Linked DNA regions of Ovis aries. The protein of the gene in region 2 interacts with the protein of the main gene of each other region in a pairwise test. Links are inferred from orthologs where the notes say so. Each region holds a gene or a part of one and is shown on either strand. Other genes may lie near its edges.

Region 1 (11,019 bases), on a different chromosome or scaffold from region 2:
ATGTTCTGTCAGTTCCTCTTCAGCTTCATTTCACATAATGCACAGGCTTTCCCCTGCCTCCTTCCATAATGTGAGTGTAATGGTTCTGCATCCAGCCCAACTTCCTCTCTGACCAGTCCCTCACTTCCTCCTTGTTGCAGCGGGTTCCATGTCCACTCGCCCCTCCTGCCCCTACCTCTCCACCTCCTGTCTGATCCAGCCCAGGGACCAGCATCTCCTCTCCCCCTTCCCATAAACGAGCAGGCCACTGACTTGGTTGGCACCAGTGTTTTATTTCAGGGGGAAGGGCTTGAAGGCCCAGGTCTGTCCTGTGCACTCCTGGGGCCTCCAGCCTCTCACTTGGCCTTCGGGTTACGGAACTTGCGTCCAGCAAAGACAGCCTTGTCCCCAAGAGCCTCCTCAATCCTGGAAGGCAGACACGGTCAGGGCTGTGATATTCCAACCCAAAAGCCCTCAGCTCCTGATGCCCAGGCTCACTGTGCCCACGGTACCTCATGAGCTGATTGTATTTGGCCAGACGCTCTGAGCGGCATGGGGCACCAGTCTTGATCTGAAGAGAGAAGAATTCCAGGAGTTGCAAGCGATTAGAGAGAAGGGATTGCACCTGGCCCCAAGGGAGCAACCTGTGGTGGCATTCAGCTCTGGGGCAGGGAGCCAGGGACTCTAAGAAAACTCAGACACTGGGCAAAGGAGGGCCCAGGAGTACCTGTCCTGTGCAGAGCCCCACCACGAGGTCGGCGATGAAGGTGTCCTCGGTCTCTCCGGAGCGGTGGCTCACCATCACCCCCCAGCCATTAGACTGAGCCAGTTTGCAGCTGGGTGGAGAGGACACTTGATAAGGCCTGGTGGGACTTCCTCAGGGTGAAAGGCAGGGGGCTGAGTGAGGCCTTTCCGTTTTATTTTGGGGGATGAGAGATGTGTGGGGAGGGTAAAGTTCTTGAGGAAAGAGAGAAGGGGAGATTCCTGATCTTAAATTTGGATTCCTGAGATGCTGGTGGGAAGAAGCAGAATCTGGGAGATGGGGATGGCAAGGGTGGGGATGGGTTGAGGCAGCGTGACAATGACCAAAGTTCCAGGGTCAGGTCAGGAGTTAGTCAAAGGTTCGAGGTGGAGAGAGCGGGGTGGGTCAGGAGCCAAGCGGGAGTCAGACCTGGAGTTAGTGGGCAAGAGGGTGGCTGGAGAGGGTAGAGCTAGGTGGAGGGAGGCCATGATGCCCTGGGCCAGGAGGCACTCACGCCTGGATGGATTCAGTCACCGAGCCAATCTGGTTGACTTTCAACAGCAGGCAATTGCAAGCCTTCTTCTCCACCGCCTGGGCAATCCTCTTGGGGTTGGTGACTGTGAGGTCATCCCCCACAATCTGGATGTTGACCCCCGAGAGGAACGAGGTCCAGGTGGCCCAGTCATCCTGGTCAAAAGGATCCTCAATGGACACCACTGGTGGAGGAGGGAAGCAGAGTCGGGTTAAAGGTCAGAAGGGCCTCACAAAGGGGTGATGGGTCAGAAAATTGCAATGGGGCTAAGGATGGGAGGGATTGAGGTGGTGGCAGCAGAGGGGCCAAGGCCGGTGTGCTGAGCAGCTGCTGCAGACTTGGGCAGGAGCAGTGGAAGCCAGGGTCTCACCAGGGTAGTTCTTGATGAAGCTCTTGTACAGTTCGCCCAGCTTCTCTCCACTGATGTGCCGAGCGGGGTCATCAGGAGACTTGAAGTCGAGATCGTACTTCCCATTGCGATAGAACTCAGATGCTGCTACATCCATGCCAATCACCACCTTGTCGGGGTAACCAGCCGCCTGGATGGCCGTCTTCAGCAGCTCTAGGGCTGGGAGAGGGCAAGGGAGGACTTGAGGCTCCAGTGCACCCCATCTCTGTGGGGACCCCCAGCGTCCTGCCCCTCCAAGTGCTCACACTGACCTTCATTGTTCTCCAGGATGTTGGGTGCAAAGCCACCCTCATCACCCACATTGGTGGCGTCCTTCCCATACTTGGCTTTGATGACCCCCTTGAGGTGGTGGTAGACCTCGGCCCCAATGCGCATGGCTTCCCTGAAGGAGCTGGCTCCCACAGGCAGGATCATGAACTCCTGCATGGCCAGCTTGTTTCCAGCATGGGAGCCCCCGTTGATCACGTTGAAGGCCTGAGACAGGGAGAGGGTGCTCAGAACCTGGGCCAGTTTTTCCAGGAATCAAGAAGGGACTGGGGTGGCGGGGGTGGGGGGGGTGAAGTCAACATGGAATCCTGGATCCCCTACTTACTGAGTGGTCTAGATGAAAAATTTTACTCCTCAGAGCCTCTGTCCTCATTTTCATAAAATAGGGATATCATCTGCTTACCTGAAGGATCTTAGGTGAAAAATTAAGAGAAGTTGGATGCACAGTTCTTAGCATGCGCACCTAACATTGTCATGGCACTCACTACAGGCCAGGCACTGCTCTAAGTTCTTTATAATATTTTATTGGCTCATTTCGTTCTCTAAACCACCCTGTAACTAGGTACAGTTTATTATCCTTCACTTTACAGATGAGGAAACTGAGGCTCAGAGAAGTTCAATAAACTTGCCAGAAGTCACACAACTAGGTAAGAGACAAAACCAGGATTCGAACCCAGCAGCTTGTCTCCAGAGCTCAGGCTCTTACACAATCTGCCTAGTAAGTAACAATAAATGGTAACATTATTGTTGCGATTAAATTCAAAGGGTTTCCATAAAGAGCAAATTTGGTTTCATAAGGATTAAAGAAGACACAAAAATAAAACGCCCAGATCTTTGCTATGAAGAAGCTCTCCATCCAATCTGGCGTTGGGGCACAGCAGAATGAAAAAGTGGAGTAACTAAGCCTGGGATTGGAACGTGAAGGAGCCAGTTACATCTAGGGAAAGAAGCAGAGAGAGGTTGAAGGGAAGGTTTGGACTGTGGGAAAGGGGAAGGTTGAAAGGGGACGGCAGTAGGAGAGGTTCCATTTCGAGAAACTGTTTCTTGGAAGTTGGGTCTGGAAGGTGGATTTTCTGGGGGCTGCCCCTGCCCTCCCCCGATGGGTGGAGTGCCTGTGGGGTGTGACCTGGTGGCTGCACTCACAGGGACTGGGAGGATCAGCTCTGGGTTCCCCGCAAGATCTGCAATGTGTCGGTAAAGCGGCACCCCCTTCTCAGCTGCTCCAGCCTTACACACGGCCAGGGACACGCCCAGGATGGCATTGGCCCCAAACTTGGCTGGAGGAAGCAAGTATAAACTGTGAGTGCTCCACCCACAGGGTTTAGGGCTGTCTCCCAGAATGTCCCCTCTGGTCACCCCAGAAAGAATCCAGAGCTCCAAACCACTGGGCACTGAGTAAGTTAACCTATCTCTTCCCCACCCTACCCGGCCCCGGGATCCCCCACCCTAGGGAAACTTGTCAACTTCATGTCTGTATCCACAGCCGGGCCCAAGCCTGGCATGGGGCAGGCATCAGGAAATGCCTGGGGGATGAGTACAAATCCCGCCCGTTACACTGTGCCCCAAAATGCAGGATGCAGAAATAATCCTAACCAGACCTCAGGCCACAGTCCTCCCCAACCCCGCCCCTGCATTCCAGCCCCTACCTCTGCCCTGGCCCCCACAGCCCATCCCCTGTCCCTAGCCCTTCACTCACATTTATTCTCTGTCCCATCCAGCTCAATCATAAATTTGTCAACTTTTTCTTGATCCACTACACTTAGTTTCTGAAAAGGCAAGTTTAAGGAGGGGAGAGCAGAAGTTAGATTTCTCAGGAGTCAGGATGTGAGCTAGAGGAAAAAGACATGCAGGTATCGGGTCAGAAGGCTTGGCTGGCCAAGCCTGAGCTTCTGGGGATGAGGCAGCAGGTGGAGTGCGTCTTCTACTTGCCTTTTCCAGCAGCGCGGGGCCGAGGGTCTTGTTGATGTGTTCCACAGCTTTCAGGACCCCTGGAGAGGCCGCAAAGCAGGGGGTTCAGATCTCCTATGCAATCAGGTCTCTTCCCGAGGCCCCCAGCTCCTGGAGAACTTTCAGTTTCCCTTCTTCTTCCGATGCCCAACCTTTTTGGCACCAGGGACCAATTTCATGGAAGACAGTTTTTGCATGGACCAGGCATGGGGTAGGGGTATGGGATGGTTTCCATATGATCCAAGTGCATTCTACTTATTGTGCACTTTATTTCTAATCTAATGTTGCCAGTGATCTGACAAGAGGTACCAGTCCGTGCCCTGGAGTTTGGGGACCCCTTCTCTACCTTATGCAGACATTTCATGCCACATCCTGAAAGCCCCCCTCACATATGGCTCCTCCAGCCTTGGTCTTTCCTCACCTTTCCCCAGGTAGCGAGACTTGTCTCCATCTCTTAGTTCCAGAGCTTCATAGATACCTGTGGAAGCGCCACTGGGCACAGCTGCTCGGAATCGGCCTGGGATGGGAGGAATTGGAAGATCACAGAGAATCCCATTCACCTCCAAAGGGCCGAGGTCTCCTCTTGGAACCCAGAGACAGGGGGCAGTGTAGAGAGACCATGGCTCCTCACTGTGGGGTGGGGGGGGCGGAGTCAAGCTGGAAGAGCAAGGCTTGGGGAGAAGTCTGGAGAAGGGGATTCCAGAGAAAAGAGTGGATGTGGCATGCAGCTGGGGGGCAAAGGCAGATGGAGTTGGGGGTCTTCCCAGGTAAACCAGTTCAATAGCCCTGGGTTACCCTTGGCCGTGTGCAGGTCCACCTCCACAGTGGGGTTGCCCCTGGAGTCCAGGATTTCCCGGGCAAAGATTTTCTGCATGGCCATGGCTGCAGGGTGAGAGGTGTGAGTAAGTGTGGACAGCTGATCCCTTAAGGAACCCCAAATCCCTTGCCCTTTAAGAGTCTTCCCCACCCCAAGGAGGCAGGTGCTGGAGCTAAAAATACCTCACAAAAAGGTCACAGACCAAAGTGGCAGGCACAGCCCCCTCCCCCACTCAGAACAGCTCCTATTCCACCCTCCCATCCTCAGAATATGGGGCCTCTCTTTTAAAACTCCACCACTTGCTGAACCCCATCTCCCACAAAGCTGCACTATGCCTTCTCCCTCCACCCCCTGGCCAAATACTCTGTTTTCCATGGCTTCCTAGCCTTTAAAGCCTCTCCTGTTACTCTACCTCACTTTTCCTGCTCCTCAGCCTTCTCCAAATCCTCAGGGGGCCCAAATTCCACCACCTGGCTCCAACTCTAACTCCCCTTCTCCGTCATCTCTGTATGCCTCTCTTCACAGTCTCGTTTTCCTATCCTTGGGTACCCCCATCCTGTATGCTCCAACTCCTCCAGGATTCTTAAGCACAAGCTGACATTTCCCCCAGGCCAGCACAGCCCTCATCCTTTACCACCCCCATCCCCTGGGGCTGGAAGATTCACCAGACCTGGGATGTCTTCGCTGGGCTCTAAGTCTAGGTGGCAGCTGGGACAGTGTCAGCTCACCCCCTCTCAGGCCGGGAATTTATCCTGGAGCCACCCTGTACCCCAGCCAGCCCCGCCTCTCCCCCTCTCCATCCTCCCCCTGAAGCCAGGCTGGCAGCCAAGTGCCCACTACAGCCTAAAGCAGCAGCTTTTGGCCCTAGGCACCTGCCCCCTTCCCAAAAGGTCAATGACTATCCCCTCCTTTCTCTGTTCTCCAATAAAAGTCCTTATTTTTAATTCCGTTCCTGGGCAGAAAGAGGAGAGGGGCTTCAGAATTGGGGGGAGGGGTCTCTCCCCGTGTCAGGATTGTATTCCTCTTTTGCAAAGGTTAAAGAGGAACTAGTGCCCTTTAGGAAAGGCCAAGGGTAACCTGAGCCCTACAGGGCTGGGGAGGGGGCCTGGAAAAGGGGCTGCAGGAGTGACATCCATAGCTCACTTGGCGGGCGGGGGACTGCCTCTGTCCTCAATGGGAGCTGGGGAGGGGGTTCCGGCCGAGAGCAGAGCTCTAAATTGAACTGCCCACTCAGAAGGCGAGAGGGTCTCACCTCTCAGGGTCCTCATGGCGGTCTCTCTCCGCTCCACCCCATCCTACCCTCTCCAGGCCGGCGAGGGGAGTGGGGGAGGGGGGGAGACAGACGAATTTAGACAGGCCCTAGGAGTTGGCGCGGCGCCCTGCTGATAGCGCTGGGACAGCACTTATCGCCGGCGTGGAAGCTGTCAGTCAGAAGCCCTTTCTCCACCGATCGCGACTGCTGGCGCTTTAGGGCGTGATCCCAGCCCATCAATGAATGGTGCTGAATCAAAAGTGACCCCCCAAAAAATGAATGGACAGAAGGTGAAGTGCCCCTTTCTGAGCGTCTGACCGCCGGGGGCCAATCGGGTGGGCCTCTAGCACGGCGGGGAAGTGGGTCTCTGCAGTCTGTGACTCTCTCCGTCTCAGTGGGTGCGGCGCAAGTAAAGTCAGCCCTGACTTTGGCTGCAGCTCCGGCCAGGAGCGGAGGGCATGCGGGTTTCAAGCCGGCTGGCCGGCCGGCGGGCGAGGGTCACCGGCTTCTCGGCTCTTCGCCCCGGACTCAGGAGACCTAGCCTGCCGGCGCCTGAGCGGCCGGCGCCCGGTGACTCACCCCCAAGCTCTCTCCCGAGCTCCCCTCCCCGCCCTGCCCCGCGGTGTGTCTCCCAGCCTTCTCGCCACCCCCCACCCCCTTATCTCTGGCCGCTCCCTCTCGGGAGATTTCCACCCTGGGGTAGGGGGTGCGGTAGGCCAGAGGTCAGGATGGCGGGCGGGGAGCGCCGCCACGTGCCCGCCTGCGGCCCCGCCCGAGTTGGCCAGTGACTCAGCCGCGGCGGCTGTCGAGGAACACTGGTTCGGGGGGCGTCGGGTGCTCCGTGGGTTCCGAGTGGCCGCGCCCGCTACGGAGGACAGGAGGGAAACGAAGCCCCTTCGCGCCCGGGAGCCGCCCCTCCCCCGAGGGACCGGAAGCGGCCTAGCCCCTCAGCGGCCCCGGCGGCCAGCGCGAGCTAGAGTCACCTAAGCCGGACTCCAGGTCCTGCCCCACCCGCTTCCCGGTGGATAGCCAGCGAACTCATCGCACACAAGTTCTTAGCTTAAGTTTTACTGAAAAAGAACAAGAAAAACCCAAAAGGGCAAAGTTGAAGGGACTTTCCTCCTCTTGAAAAAGTTGCAATCTTGAGAAACCGCTTAGTATTCTTCCGCCTTGGAAAATAGGCCCGCCCGTCTGGCCCCACGGTGCTCAATGACCTCTGCAGACACGGGCCAAGGGGCACAGCCGGTGACCCAAACTGCTGACCGGGGTTCGGGCAGGGCTGGGACGTGGAGTGAGGAATGAGGCTGGAGCCGATCCAGTGAGTCACAACCCCCTGGAGTCGAGGTGGGCTCCAGTGAGTACCGCTTGTGCCGCCCGGGCAGATGCTGGGGACAGAAGTGTCCCTGGTGGGTGCCTTCAATTCTGAAGACGGCCGGGGGTATTTGGTCTAATTTCCTTTTACTACCTTATTTCTTGAATAAATAAAATCAAGAGGGCAGAAGCGGCCAGGCACACGCCACGCCTCGCCTCCGCCCCTTCCGCCCGGCGGGAGACACGTCCCCGGCCTGCCTGCCCTCACCGAGGGTCCAAATCAGTCCCGCTTGGCGCGCCCGGGCGCGCGCCCGCGAAGCCCGCCGTCTGCCCTAACCGCCCCACGCGCTTTCCCTCTCGGCCCCGGCGCAGGCGCGGGCGCACGCGCCCCGCCGCCGCCCGCCGTTCCTGCCCCCGGCAGAGGTGGGGGAAGGGGGAGTCGTTCTGTTTAACCCTGAGTTACCCGAATCCTCTTTAATTTGCTAAATTTGCAGTTTGCTAATTCTTACTTCTTTCACTTTCCTTCTTCCCTGTGGCTCACTACCTTTCCTTCCACTAAAGTCTGATAGTTTAGGCGGAGTGGAGCGGGCCCTAACCTTAACCCATCCCCACCCACCCCGATTCTTTTTGCCTCGCTTTCCATCGAACTCTGCAAATTTTGCAATAGGGGGAGGGATTTTTTAAAATGCATTTGCAAAGTTCGGTATCTGGGCAGGAGAGGGGAGGGAGAGAGGGAGTGGGGAGCAAGCCCCGCCCCCACCGCCCTTTGCAAATAAAAATCTAGGGGGGTGGGGAGGAGCAGGAAGTGGCGGTGCGAGGGCTGCTGCACAGCTAGCAGAGCCGCGGTCCGGACGGCAGCGCGTGCCCCAAGCTCTCCGTCTTCCCCCGCCCGCCAGCCCGAGCCCAGCCCGCGGCCCCAGCAGCAGCCCCGAGAGCAGCCCCAATAGCAGCGCCATGGCCGGGTGGAACGCCTACATCGACAACCTCATGGCGGACGGGACCTGTCAGGACGCAGCCATCGTGGGCTATAAGGACTCGCCCTCCGTCTGGGCCGCCGTCCCCGGCAAGACCTTCGTCAACATCACGGTACTGAGAGGCCTGCACAGTCCTGGGGACTGGCCCGGCTTGGACCCTGAGGGAGGGACTCGGGTGGGGGCGGGCGCGGTCTGCGGAGGGCGGCGAAAGGCCGTGACCCGGTCCTTGCCCTGGAAGTGGCGCGAATGGCGGCTGCACGTGAGCGGGCCCCTCCATGGCCCCCTGAATCCTCCGCCCCGGGCGGCGGCGCCCAACCCGCCCGCCGCCCCGCTTTCCGCGACGGGGCGTTACATCCGGGGCACGGGGCGGGGAGGGTGCGCCGCCCGGTGCGGCGGCCCACTTCCGCCTCCTCCAGGGCGGGTCGGGCACGCGCCGTAGTTTCTACCCAGGATTTTGATTGAGCAGGGACTTGGGGACCCCGGGACCCCTAGCTCCACTTCCGGCCGCCAGCTCGCGCCCCTTCCACTATTGTTCCTCTGAACCGGGAGGGAGCCCCAGTCGCATGGCCTGGGTCCCTAGCCCGATCTCCGTGGGTTCCCTGCCCCTCCCAACTCCATTAGAGAGGGCTAGGGCGCCACACGACGACCCCCTCCCCGCCAGTCGGCCGGTCGGACTCAGCATTCTTGAGAGACCAGTCCCGGGAGTCCCCTCGCCTTCCCTTCCCGCCATCAGGCAGGGCCTGGAGCAGGGGAACTTTGTGAGAAGTTCTAGGACAGTATAAGTGAAGGAAGAAGGGATGACTGCTGCTGTCCCCATCACCAACTCCCCTGTCCACACTGCCCGGAAGTGGGGAGGGGGAGCGGAAGTTCGAAAGGGGGGGAAGGGGATTTCCGGGCGGGAGGGGACCGGATGTGGGGATTTGGGGTGTAAGGGGGAGGGGAAGATACGTTCCCCGGGGTATCTAGACCCGAGAGCTGGCTGTCGGGTCTAGCCCCAGGCCCCCTCCAAAAGTTCTTCGACTTTCGCTGAATGCCCCAAGGCATCTGCTTGCTCATCTTAGAGCATAGATACCTGAACCTAAACTCTAAGTTACTTAGAGACCCAGGCGTCCGGGCCCCTAACAACTCCTGCAGAACCTTTGACCAAATAAGGGCAAAGTTGCTTCTCCTGCTTTGCCCGCCCCCTCCCTTCCCCTCTTCGCTTCTGCTTTTCCTGAAGGAGAGTTCTGAGCATCCAAGGCTCTCCACTCCATTCTCTTAACTGGTTTTTGGCCCCATTTATTTACTGGGTTTGCTTTCCCTATTAAACGACATCTAAATCGACATCTGAGTCAGAGGACCATGTTGTCCCTTCCTAGTACCATTCTCTAGGTTTCAAGATCATATTTTTGTGCACTTCCAACAATCCTGAGTTTCTCAAATTTCACGAATGTGTACAAAGCACATAACATACACCTTTCACCCCAGGGGGCTTAGCTTCCTTGAGAAATGGAAGACAGGTGAGAACTTTGGTGTATTGACTAACTTGCTGGGTGCTTGGTTCCCTTTTCAGCCTGCTGAGGTCGGTATCCTGGTTGGCAAAGACCGGTCAAGTTTTTTCGTGAATGGGCTAACGCTTGGGGGCCAGAAATGTTCTGTGATCCGGGACTCACTGCTGCAGGATGGAGAATTTACCATGGATCTTCGTACCAAGAGCACCGGTGGAGCCCCAACTTTCAATATCACTGTCACCATGACTGCCAAGAGTGAGTTCTTACCCATTCTCTAGCTCCAAAATCCCTAACGTACCTCCTTTTGTTAATCTTTTGGGTTCTTCTGTGTGGTCACTTAGTATGAAAGGATCAAACCAGGTTTCTACTCCCAGCCTGCTGGATGCTGGGGCATCGAATTGTTCCTCTAGTTCTGTCTCAGTGCCTCACCATACGCCTCACCATACGGTGTAGAGAAGTTGAACTGTATTACCTCTTAAGTTGCTTCTTACCTTGAGCATTTTCAGAGGAGAAACTCCCTGTTTTCTTGGAGGAGGTAAAAGGTTCATTGTAAGTCAGCATTCTGCTCTTGTCTTTTGAGCTCTTTTGTGAAAACTTGGAGGTGGCCGGCTCATCCACAGCCATTTCTAGCCTGAACACATGAGTCAACAGTCCAGGAGCCTTTGACCCCTAAATTTTACTGTGCTCCTTTCCAGCCTTTAAGCTTGATTTTCCCCTTTTGAAAAGACCTATTGTTTCAGGGTGACTGACAGCCTGCCTGTGTGTGGGGGGTTGGGAGAGATGAGGTTGGGTTACAGCCCCCAGGGTTGGACAGCTGCTGAACAGCTGGCAGGGGGTGGGGTGGTGACACCTGGGTCCTAGCCTCCTTTCTCTTTCCTCCAGCGCTAGTCCTGCTGATGGGCAAAGAAGGTGTCCACGGCGGTATGATCAACAAGAAATGTTATGAAATGGCTTCTCACCTGCGGCGTTCCCAGTACTGACCTCGTCTGGCCCTCCCCTCACCACTCCCCACTGCTTTTGCACCCCTCTCCTTCCCACACACATACATACACCATTTTTATTTTTTGGGCCATTACCCCACACCCCTTATTGCTGCCAAAACCACATGGGCTGGGGGCCTGGGCTGGATGGACAGACATCCCCTGCCCCCAACCCGTACCCCTCCTGTGTGTGGTTGGAAAACTTTTTTGTTTTTTGGGTTTTTTTTCTGAATAAAAAAGATTCTACTAACAAGGTGCTGTGTGGTTTTAGCCTGGGTGTCAGGATGGAAGACAGCTCTTGTGACCTGTCTCCTTTATC
Region 2 (10,992 bases):
TACAAGTTTTTGTTTACCTGTTTTAATGGACCTCCCCTAGTACTGATCCCTAGTGGCTAAGTGATAAAGAATCTGCTTGCAATGCAGGAGACCTTGGTTGGATCCCTGGGTTGGCAAGAGCCCCTGGGGAAGGGAATGGCAACCCCACTCCAGTATTCTTGCCTGGGAAATCTTATGGAGGAGCCTGGTGGGCTACAGTGCATGGGGTCGCAGAGTTGGACACGACTGAGCTATTAACACTTTCACTTTCCCCCATTACAATCCGTGAGAGATGGAACTTGGTCCTGTTCACACTTGCAGCCCAGGGCTTACTTTGAACAAGGCTGGACCCAGTTGGCATACATAAGTATTTGTTCAGTGGGTGAAGGAATTCTAGTCTCTTTCCAGAGCCCCAGAGAAATCTGCCCTGGGGACCTCTGAAATTAGAAGCCAAAAGGACTCCACCTTCCCCACACCAAGCGTATACCTCAATCAACATGACCTCCCTGATTCCAGAATGATCCCTTGAACTCAGCTGCTTATTGTCTACAGTTGTGTTGGTTTTTCTAAGAGGGAAACTGGCTAAAAGAGGTTAAGTAACTTGTTCACAGTTGCATAGCTAAGAGCTTTGGATTTGAATCAAAGTTGATTTGAACCCAGGAAGCTGTGTCCTAAGTTCTAATTTCTTCTCCTTCTGCCACTTACTCTTTCTGGTGTTCACGTTGTTGTTATAAACTTTATAAAAACACCCTAAACTGGCATTTGAAGTCCTCTGCTTCCCTAGTTTCTTGCTGCAGGCAGAGGAAGTGACTGGTCTTTCAACAAATTTCTTGGTGCCAGAGGCCTTTTGGAATGTCCATTTTGCTATCTTCTATGGACCCTCAATTTTTATTTGCTTTACTTCAGACTGTTTCACAGAGAGCTGAGTGAGGCTAGGTACAGTAGTGAGGCTGGCCGATTTGAAGGGACACTAGATACAGCTCGGTTTTGGATGTAGGCAACAAATGCAAATGTGCAGAGAAAGGGAAAGGACAAACAACTCCCAGGAGGTGCTAGGTTTCTATGCAGATGACTGTAGGACTTCAGAAGGTACAGAGATCAGAAAGATGAAAAATGTTTTTTCTTCCTCTAGAGTGGCACTCAGACAGGAAAGAGTTCACATCAGGAAATTTGGGCAGTGGCAGGACTAATGCAGTCCCTGGCTATGACTAGAATCTTTAATACCTGAAAAGATCTGGTGTCGTTAGTATACTCCACAGCCTGGGTGAATGGGGAAGGGTTCCAGGCATGACATAGGGTAAGTGCAGGACCCTCATTCTGGCTGCATTGAGTGCAGAAGCCACAGAGGTTCAATTCTTAACCTGGAACCTGAGCGCCACAGTTCTGTTGGTACATATTTGTCTGTCTGTTGTTGATGTGGGTGTTAGGATCCCAGGTTCTTCAAGGGGTTCCACAGCTCAGAAGTCAGCCCTTCTCCTTTTAAAGATGGGAAGACTGATGAGCTCAACCGTATTAAGGATATGCATTCATAATCTTGTTTCAATCAATACATTTCCCAGCAAGATGTCTTAAGGACGAATTGGTAATAGCATACTCCTATAGAATACTTTGGAGAAGGCAATGGCACCCCACTCCAGTACTCTTGTCTGGAAAATCCCATGGACCAAGGAGCCTGGTAGGCTGCAGTCCATGGGGTCGCTAAGAGTCGGATACAACTTAGCGACTTCCCTTCCACTTTTCACTTTCATGCATCGGAGAAGGAAATGGCAACCCACTCCAGTGTTCTTGCCTGGAGAATCCCAGGGACGGGGGAGCCTGGTGGGCTGCCATCTATGGGGTCGCACAGAGTCGGACACGACTGAAGCGACTTAGCAGCAACAGTAATCGCATTCATCTCTTCAAGAAACACTCATCTTTGGGTCCTTGACTGAAGTGACTTAGCATAGCATAGCATAGAATACTTATGTTGCCCAGTTTACAGATTCAGGACAGCTTACTTTTTGTCAGTGGCTATTTTTTGTATGTATGTCACAGGGGCCTTCTATACCTGTGAGTTCTGGGCCTAAAACTGAGGCTGAGGCTGCAGCCTCCTAAGGAGGCTGCACACACACTTCCTAACTGTAAAGGCCTTATCAGATGCTGCTGGTAGAAGGAGCAGAGCACTGGCTGGTTGGAAGAAAATCCACAAGCTTTTCTCATGAAGCCCCGGGTAAGCATCAAACAGAGTACTAAAGGAGTCCATCTCCTTCACCTACTTTTCTGCTTCAGAAAGAAATAAAGCAAGGGCTCTTTCTTCTCTGGGCTCTGCCACCTCCCCCAGGCCTCCCCTGCCCTAGAGATCACAGACATGCACACCAGATTCCCCCTTAAATAGCTGTTTATTGGCAGTAGGCTGGAAACAGTGGAGTTAGCGTACACAGACAACACCAGGCACCAATGTCACAAGGAGGCAAGAGTGACGGGAAAGAGCAGCCTGGAGCCCCAGATGAAGCCCCTCTCTTCAAGAGTGAGTGTGGGAGGGGACGGGGCCTGGAGTGTTGAGGGGGCAGCCTTAGAACACGTTGGCTTAGTAGGCGTGGTTAGAGATGAAGAGGGATTCGCTGGCTGCAGCCCCTGCCTTACCACTTGGGGTGTACTTTCCTTGGCAGGCAAGGCTGTTGGCCTAAGAAGGGAGAGGAGCCAGAGTGAGAAGGTCCCTTCTTAGAATCCGGTCCACCCCAGCACCCTGCCCGCCTCCTGCTCCATCCTTACCAAGGCTCGCTTGACGTATTCTTCCTGGGCAGCCTTCAGGTTCTCCTTCTTTCCACCCCAGGCCTTCAGGGCAGAGGCCTGCAGGGCTCGGCCATAAGAGAAGGTCAGGGCCCACGGCTTCAGCAGGGGGCACTTGTTGATGGCGTTGAGGTTGATGGATGCCTCCTCCTCACTCTGGCCTCCGGATAGGAAGGTGATACCTGTAGAATGAGGGGGTGACATGGGGGGAGGGGTTGTAGTCAAGCAACCCAGGGGACTGGAAGAAGGCCCTAGAAGCTGACCTGGAAATCAAGACCATATGGGCACAAGGATCACGGGTAAGTCCATCTACCTCCCAGAGGTCAAGATGAGGAATGGGTCTCACCAGGGACAGCGGGGGGCACTGTGCGGCGCAGTGCCGTGACAGTTGCCATGGCAATCTCCTCGTGAGAATATTTCTGGGTGCAGGCGTGGCCTGGGGTTACCATATTGGGCTTCAGCAAGGTGCCTTCCAGGTAGATGTGGTGGTCACTCAGAGCCTTGTAGACAGCAGCCAGCACCTACAGCAGGGTGGGACCGAAGTGGGGTGAGGTGGAGTTGGGGGGACGAGGGTCACCCCAGGGGCCCCGGCCCACCTCCCTAGCCCACCTCACTGCCCAGGCTGGCAGGCCACCTACCTTCTCGGTTACATACTGACAGCGTTTCAAGTCATGGTCCCCATCAGGGAGGATCTCGGGCTCCACAATGGGTACAATCCCATTCTGTGGGGTGAGGAACAGGGTAGCAGTGAGGCCTCCTAACCCAGAGCCCCACCTCCAGCCCTCCACAGCTATTCACCAAGATCTTATCTCCAGGACTCCTGGCTACACAGCCCTCCCCAATTCAAAACAGATTGGAGGAGATTAGCTGTCTCCTCAGATCCACCCACATAATCCCTATTCTGCCCTTCTGCCTGCAGAGCCCTTCATGGACCCAAGCCTGGAGCTTGGTGAGGATTCGGAGCCTTGGGATAAGCTGGCAGATGGGTGGCAGGCCAGCTGACACACTGGAATGGAATCAGGTGGGTCGTGGCCTGCTGGGGACCTACAGGCCCACCTGCTGGCAGATGCTGGCATAACGGGCCAGGACATTGGCGTTTTCCATGATGGCGAGGGAAGAAGGGGTGTGTTCCCCGATCTTCAGCACGCAACGCCACTTGGCAAAGTCAGCTCCGTCCTTCTTATACTGGGCACAGCGCTCCGAAAGCCCATCCAGCCCTGAAGAGGGGACAGAGGGGTCAGAGCTGGCCAGCGGAGGGGGCAGGTGGCTCCCACCTGGCCTGGGCACCCAGTGGGGTACCGACCAGGGTGGGCTGGTTGGTAGGGCCAGGAACTAAGCGGTTCTCACCTTGGGTGGTTGTCTCGCCATTTGTTCCTGCCAGGGGTACCACACCTTTGTCTACCTGTTGGGGTGGAGGGCAACAAGATAGGATGGGAAGTGGTCTCTGGTGCCCTTTTTTCAATCTTTGATCAGGGAACTAGATCTCACACACCGCAACTAAAGAACCCGTGTTCTGCAACGAGGATCAAAGATTCTGGGTGTTGCAACGAAGACCAAGCACAGCAGATAAATAGTATTTAAAAAACAACAACAAAAACTCTTGCTCTACAGCCTTTTTCTCCTCTGTAGCCCCACCCTGTCCCAGCTTTACTTCATCTCTCAAGTATCCTTCTGGTTTGCCAGTGTTTCACTTAGCCATGGTATCTGGTCCCAAGAGGCACACACAGAGAGCTTGAATTCTACCATTTACTAAGTGTGAGCAAAACACTTCATGGCCTTGAGCTTCTGGTTTTTCAATGATATAAACATAACCTGTGGCTTTTAAAATCACAAGGATTAAAATGCCAAGCAAGTCCCATAAGTTACTGGCTTCTTACACACAATTTGGAGGTGATCGGGGCAGACTCCACCCAAGTCTCCCCACCCAGTTCATCCCCACCCCAACCCCTGCCTGTTATCCTGGATTTCCTTGCCCCTCATCCATCTCACTGGGCTTCCCAGGTGGTGCTAGTGGTAAGAACCCGCCTGCCAATGCAGGAGACATAAGAGACAGCAGGTTCGATCCCTGGGTGGGAAAGATTACCTGGAGGACATGATAACCCACTCCAATATTCTCGCCTGGAGAATCCCATGGACAAAGGAAGCTGTGGGCTATGGTCCATAGGACTGCAAAGAGTCGGATATGACTGAAGCGACTTAGCACACGCGCATTCATCTCACATCTCCCACCCCAAGGCCTAGCCCCCTCACCTTGATGCCCACGACGCCGCCCTTGGCTTTGATAACTTGGGGGAAGGGACGCCCATCATCAGCCTTCTGGTAGAGCGTCTCGTGGAAGAGGATGACGCCCCCGATGCAGGGATTCACGCGGTCGTCGGCGGTCAGCAGCAGTTGGCGGTAGAAGCGCCGGTTCTCCTCAGTGTTCTCAGTGCCAATGGACTGCAGTCGCTTGGCAATGCTCCCTGGAGGAAAGCATCACATGGGAATTAAAGGGGTCAGCCGCTCAACCCCACCCCCTGGGCCCTCCTCCCCCTGTGCCCTGCCCGCACCGGTGGACTCATCTGCAGCCAGGATGCCCTTGCCCGGAGCCACAATCCGGTGAGCGATGTCACAGAGCTCCTTCTTCTGCTCCGGGGTGAGTGCTGGGTATTGGTGGGGCATGGTGCCTGTCAGTTCCTGGGCGAGGAGACACATGGGGGAGGGCTAGTTAGTGGAGTCTTCCCCTGGTCTCCCAACCAGCAGGGCCCCTTGCCTGGAGGTCAGGGGAAAGGTTTCCTACCTCCCCTGCCCCACTCCCGGCAGGTCTCGGGGCACTTCCTGCCCCAGGCTCTCCCTTACACCCAACTTCCCTATAGTAGGCCTGCCTCCTGTACCTTTCCTAACTCTGTTTGTTTCTGGGTGTTACCCAGCTGAGGGTGGGGCTGTATATTGGCATCTGGCCTAAAGGAATAGGCCAGAGCCATGGACAGGCAGGTCATGTGGAAGCCGGACCCTTCTGGCTTGCGCTGTGCCATGGGGGTCACCTTGCCCTGAAGCAAAACCAAACCGGAGTATTTTGGAATTAGAAGTTGTGCGGAAGGCAGCAGGCCCAACCTTCTCATCTGAAAGAAGCCAGAGAAGGGAAAAAAGCTGTGTATCAAGCCACACAGCAACCCAAGGGCCTGATCTGAGATTAGAACTCAGATCTCTGGCTGTGATACGAGTGTTCCTTCCAGTCCACCTGAGATCCCAGGGCTGGCCCAGGTTCCATTGCCTCAAGGACACCCCAAGGTCAGGCTGCTCCCCCAAGGCGGGGGGGAGGGTGTTAGGAAAAAGGTGGCGGTGTGGGGTGGTCCTCGGAAGCCCAGAAAAGGGCGGCGAAGGAAACCTAGCCCGGGGGGGCGGGGGGCGCGTAGGAAAGGAGTGAGGGTTGGCCTCACTGCTCATGCAGGGTAAGACAACGTGGAGGAGAGGCAAGCGCCCCACCCCTTCCCCTGAAAATGCTCCTGTCTGCTCCGCGGCTGCAGCTGTTCCAGGCTCAGAATCAAGGTCACCCGATAAGGAAAGATAGGGAAAGTGTTAATGGGGCTTCATGCGCTGCCAAGAGGTTTCCCCTCCTGGCCAGGAGCACCGGTCTCCCAGGATAGGGACCAACCACCCGCTTTTGGGAACCCTGAGGCAGTAAATGAGCTGGCTCCCACCTCTCGATGCCTCCTAGGATCCCTGCAGAGGCAAAGGGGCCGTCATTTTTGCACCCGGAGTCCTAACAAGAAAAGGGGAGCGGGGAACGGCCCTTCATCTCGCCTGGCTTCCTTCCTCCCCGCTGTGACTCAGCGCGCGGAGCGGTTGCTGCGTTGCGCAGCAAACCCAGGGAGCTCAGGCTGGAAGAGTCGGGGAGGCCGGGCTAGGAGCAAACGTGTGGGTGGTGGCGGAGGAGGAAGATGCTGGGGCCGGGTTGGGGGGCTCCGTGCGGACCCCCGACCGCGTCTGCCCCCGGGATCCTTCGCCACGACCCCCTCCCTGACCTTCGCACGTGGCGGGGAGCGCTCACCTGGCACAGGAGAGGGGCAGGCTGGCGGGGCGCAGCGGTGGAGGGCTGGCGGAGTGGACTGAGGGAGGGAACGCGGCACTCGTCACCAGGACTCCGGTTCGGCGGCGCGTTCCAAGAGGAACGCAGCCTATTCTACTCCTGAGGCGGGGCGCGGGGGCGGGCGGGCAGGAGGTGGTGCCGGGCCTTATAAAGGCACCGCTCCGCCCCGCGCCGGGTTTTTCCCTTTGCAGGGGGCCGGAGGCGCCCCGGCGTCCAATGGCAGGCGAGGAAATGTGCGAAAGGCCGCCCCCGAAGGGCGAAGCCGGGAGGCGGCGCTTGGGCGGGGACTGTCCGGCGAGAACCGGAGCCCTTCCCCCTCGTTACCCCTCGGACGTGACTCGGGCCACATCCCGCGGGTCGCCGGGGCCCTCCCCAACTCCTCTCCTCCCCCGACCCCCCTCCCCTCCGCCTGGCGTGCTTCGGGGCGCCGTGACTCAGCCGAATTTGGGGCCCCAGAGGAGATGGGAATGGGGTGGGTTCGGAGGAAAAGCGGGTGGCAGAGCCCGAAAACAGCGAGGCTCAGCTTCCCTCCCGCAGGCCCATCGGGCGGTCTGGGGCAGCCCCAGCTTCCGGAGGCACTGAGGCAGCGAGTGTCACATTGTAACCGAATCTAGGGGCCCGGGGACTGCCCGCCCGGGCGCAGGAGAGGGCAGCGCGGGCAGGCTCCCGGAGCGCGAGCCGGCAGCGGTTCCGGGTATCCCGCCCGGCGGGTATCCCCGCCGCGTCCGCGCTCCATCCCGGCAGGTCCGGCTCCCGGGACCGGGAGAGCCAACGTGGCCCGCGAGTGCGCACGCGCCCGCCGCGGGAAGCCGGACCCGGCGGGAACCCGCTCGGGCCGCCACTCGGCCCGAGCAAGTCTGGGGATATGGGGCCAGAGTGCTTGCAAAACTTCTCCCTGGCGCCGACTTCCCTCTCCAAAATCAAATCCGCCCCCTGGCTGTCTGGCTCCCACATTCTTTCCGAGCCTCCCCATCCTACCGGCCGGGTCTCCCCCTCCTAAATCTCGGAGCCTTCAGCCCAACCCCAACCCCGCTCCGTCCGACTGGCGCCCACCTGTGAGGAGGAAGCCAAAGGCGCTGGCGAGCCTGGTCAGCAGCGAGTGAGCCAGGCCCCGCCCGGACTGGGTTATAAGGCAGCTCCCGCCCTCCCCCCAACCGACCTTCTCCGGTGACCCCTGCCCTTTGCTCACCACAGATCCCCTGGCAGGGACCTATATTTAGGGAAACCTGAAGCCCCTGACATTCACGCCAGCGTGGGGCCTAAAGTGAAGGATGGGGAAGAAGCTTGTGGGCCTGCCTATTTTGGGGGTAGCGGGGAGGGCCCCCTGCCCACTCACCGGTACTTCAGAGATTTCTTCCTTGGACATCCAGACTGAGGCCCTCAACAGGCTGTCAAGAGAAGTAAATCTCTGGACAGCAATCTGTGAGGAAGGAAGGACGGGTAAGGGGATGCAGACCTGTGGCCTTCCCTGCCTCCTCCTCAGACCCCCCATCCCCTGACTCTGGGCCTCACAGGGCTGTCCTGATTCTTCAGAGGCAGAGCACACAGGCAGGCACTACAGTCACACCTCAAAATAACCAAGAGTCCATGGACAGGGTGTGCCTGGGGTAACCCTACAGATAGTCAAGTTTGTCCCATGCTCTGGACGGTGAGCAGTGTCCCCCAACCTCACCTTCAAATATGATCAGTTACTTGGGGAGGGGGAGTCAAGGGCAGGGGGACCTGCTGGAGCACCAGCCCCTCTCTCTTCTGGCCCTGCCAAGGGGCTGCCGTCCTGTTGGCCAAGGGCTCTGTGAGTCCCGCTCTTCAGGGAGCCAGGCTCTCCACTGCTGGTTCCCAGGTCGGTGAGCTGGGCAGGCCATTTGTGGTTCCAATGGCCTGGAGAAAGGTGTCCTGAGTCCCCTCAGGGAACAGGGCCTGTGGCCCCTGGGGGCTGGCCGCTCCCCAAAGAGCAGGGACCCTGGATCGTCATCGGAGCTTGATCTCAAAGCAGAGGCAGTTGAGGCTCTGGCAGTCAGGAAGTTGGCACGCACAGGCACAGTCGCAGAGCGGGCAGCAGCGAGGGCAGCGAGGGGCCCAGTCCTGCGGGAGAGGAGTTGGGGTGAGGGAGGTGGGCGAGGGAAGGGCACCAAAGCCTGGAGCTGTTTCCTTTTCAAGGGAGAAGGGAACAGAGAGGCCTGGAAAGTCCCACTTGCCCAGTGGATCAGAGGGTACCATCCACCACTCCTGGGAAGAAATCAGCTCCTTGTGATGTTGAGAAATCAGCCAGGAGGCAATGTTCCTAACAACTGGAAGGAGCTGGAAGAAGTCATTTGGGGGGGAGGTCATTTCTTTTAGGCTTCCCGGTTGGCACTAGTGGTAAAGAATCCGCCTCCCAGTGCAGGAGACTCCAGAGACTTGAGTTCGATCCCTGGGTTGAGAAGAGCCCCTAGAGGGGGGCATGGCAACCCACTCCAGTATTCTTGCCTGGAGAATCCCATGGACAGAGGAGCCTGGCAGGCTATAGTCCATGGGGAAGCAGAGAGTCAGACCCGACTAAAGCAACTTAGCATGCATGCACATCCCTTCTTTCTTCCCATTTTATAGATGAGGAGACTGAGGGCCAGAGATCAGTTAGCCCTGGCCCCACACTTACGCCCCAGTGTTCAGCTCAGAGATGGTTCCACTATACGCTTACGACCCCATACAATTGCAAGTCATTAAGACAGGGAAAGCACACACACTCTATGATGAAAACCACCTGCTGGTTTTGTGGATTTCTTTCTTGGCCTGAGACCAAGCTGGCTGTCATTCACCTTCCATTTCTGAGCACCTACTCTGTGCCAGGCACAGACTGTGTCCATGAATGATTTTAAAAAGTCTTTTTAGTTTTCCTTAAAAATGGTAATTTTCCTATTTAATTTTTTTTTTTTTTTTTACTATTTAAAAGGAGTCACATTTCTTTATCAGAACCTTGAGTAGAGGGCCTCCTTACAAAAGAGGAAATGAAGGTTCAGAGAGGGAGTGATCATGCAAAGGAATACAACTAGGGAAGGGGGCTGGGATGAGGCCAGGCCTGCCTGCTTCCAGCCCTGCGATCCTGCTTTGATCCCACTGCTTCCCAGGGCCGTGAATACTAACTTCTTTCAAGATTGCTAAGGCAGGGACAGTTCACCTCCTATCTCCACTGAGCTACCAGGGGACTCAGGCTCAGCAGGTGCCTGAGATACAAATGAACGTTGAATGGGTGATTCAATCAAAGCAAATAAATTTTCTCTCTAGGCAGAGAAGAAGAGGGGAGGCAGAAAGTCTGCCTCTCATGGGATAGGAACAGCATGTCCTTAGAGACAGGAAGGGAGAACCGGTCTGCTCCAATCCACTCTGCTCCTGCCGTGGGACACAGATGATCTGCCACTGCTCCAGGCATGGACTGGAGTCCAGCCAAATGGCTGGAGTGGGTCACACCCAGGATGGGTGACAGAAGATTGGCTCCTTGAGGCCTGAGGCAGAGCTAGTGACAGTCACAGTTGCACAGCTCAATCAGACTCCAGGCCAAGCCAGGAATAGGGGAATGACCTTTAGAAGAGCTGAGGTTTTGGGGTGCGGTGTCGGATGACTGGTGAGATCAGATATCACTAGGGGCTCCGGTGAGGGGAGGGTGCATTGGTCCCTGCCAAAAGAATTCTCTAGGAGGAAGCAAAAGTATATCATGGCGGAGGGGAGAGAGCAAAGCGGCTTCCTTGTGTGTGATGGGGGTGTGGTTTGGGGGCATCTCTGGGGAGTTCTGCTCTAGGCTGAAGTCAGCTCTATGGGTTTTTGGAGGACTGCACCATCATTCTGTGTGCAGAACTGGGGGCTGAGAGAGGCCACACTGCCCTCACCTCAGAAAAGAGGGTATTAAAAGCATTTCTTGGCTCTGCTCCCCTGGCAGGGTTTGGCTCTAGTCATTAAGAACTAGCTAATGGATATTTTGACTCTCGCTGGCAGCCCTGTGGCTTCTGTAAGGAACCTGCTTTTCAAGGCCTTTTTAAACAAGGGCTCTGCATGACCGTTAACCCTCGTATTTATCTCGTCTTTCACTCTGATTTCTTTCACTCTGAGGTTGTAAGGGCCAGTCATCATTACTGTTTGGAGCTCGGGGTTTGAATCTAATTCAGCCCCACGCTTGGCCGATTGGTGATTTGAGCCTCATTTTT

What was found.
Region 1: the proteins of ALDOA (region 2) and ENO3 interact in a two-hybrid assay, tested with the Homo sapiens proteins (2 studies listed by BioGRID and IntAct, with this or other methods). The link is inferred for Ovis aries from reciprocal best matches to the Homo sapiens genes ALDOA and ENO3.

The regions. Positions count from the first base shown.
Region 1 is NC_056064.1:26,317,085-26,328,103, forward strand, and holds ENO3 (beta-enolase), read right to left. Parts: upstream 6,017-11,019; 5' UTR 5,962-6,016; coding exon 5,946-5,961; intron 5,393-5,945; exon of another isoform or gene 5,364-5,392; intron 4,759-5,363; coding exon 4,672-4,758; intron 4,394-4,671; coding exon 4,298-4,393; intron 3,918-4,297; coding exon 3,859-3,917; intron 3,696-3,858; coding exon 3,626-3,695; intron 3,207-3,625; coding exon 3,073-3,206; intron 2,137-3,072; coding exon 1,914-2,136; intron 1,822-1,913; coding exon 1,624-1,821; intron 1,438-1,623; coding exon 1,236-1,437; intron 816-1,235; coding exon 707-815; intron 551-706; coding exon 492-550; intron 406-491; coding exon 336-405; 3' UTR 253-335; downstream 1-252. Other genes in the region: PFN1 (profilin-1), read left to right, coding at 8,211-8,342, 9,783-9,975, 10,603-10,700. UniProt on the Homo sapiens protein: Glycolytic enzyme that catalyzes the conversion of 2-phosphoglycerate to phosphoenolpyruvate. Appears to have a function in striated muscle development and regeneration.
Region 2 is NC_056077.1:26,724,823-26,735,814, forward strand, and holds ALDOA (fructose-bisphosphate aldolase A), read right to left. Parts: upstream 6,885-10,992; 5' UTR 6,779-6,884; intron 6,491-6,778; exon of another isoform or gene 6,429-6,490; intron 5,778-6,428; 5' UTR 5,763-5,777; coding exon 5,622-5,762; intron 5,425-5,621; coding exon 5,298-5,424; intron 5,211-5,297; coding exon 4,999-5,210; intron 4,151-4,998; coding exon 4,096-4,150; intron 3,966-4,095; coding exon 3,805-3,965; intron 3,471-3,804; coding exon 3,387-3,470; intron 3,270-3,386; coding exon 3,095-3,269; intron 2,931-3,094; coding exon 2,731-2,930; intron 2,642-2,730; coding exon 2,546-2,641; 3' UTR 2,339-2,545; downstream 1-2,338. Other genes in the region: late cornified envelope-like proline-rich protein 1, read right to left, coding at 8,786-8,899. UniProt on the Homo sapiens protein: Catalyzes the reversible conversion of beta-D-fructose 1,6-bisphosphate (FBP) into two triose phosphate and plays a key role in glycolysis and gluconeogenesis. In addition, may also function as scaffolding protein.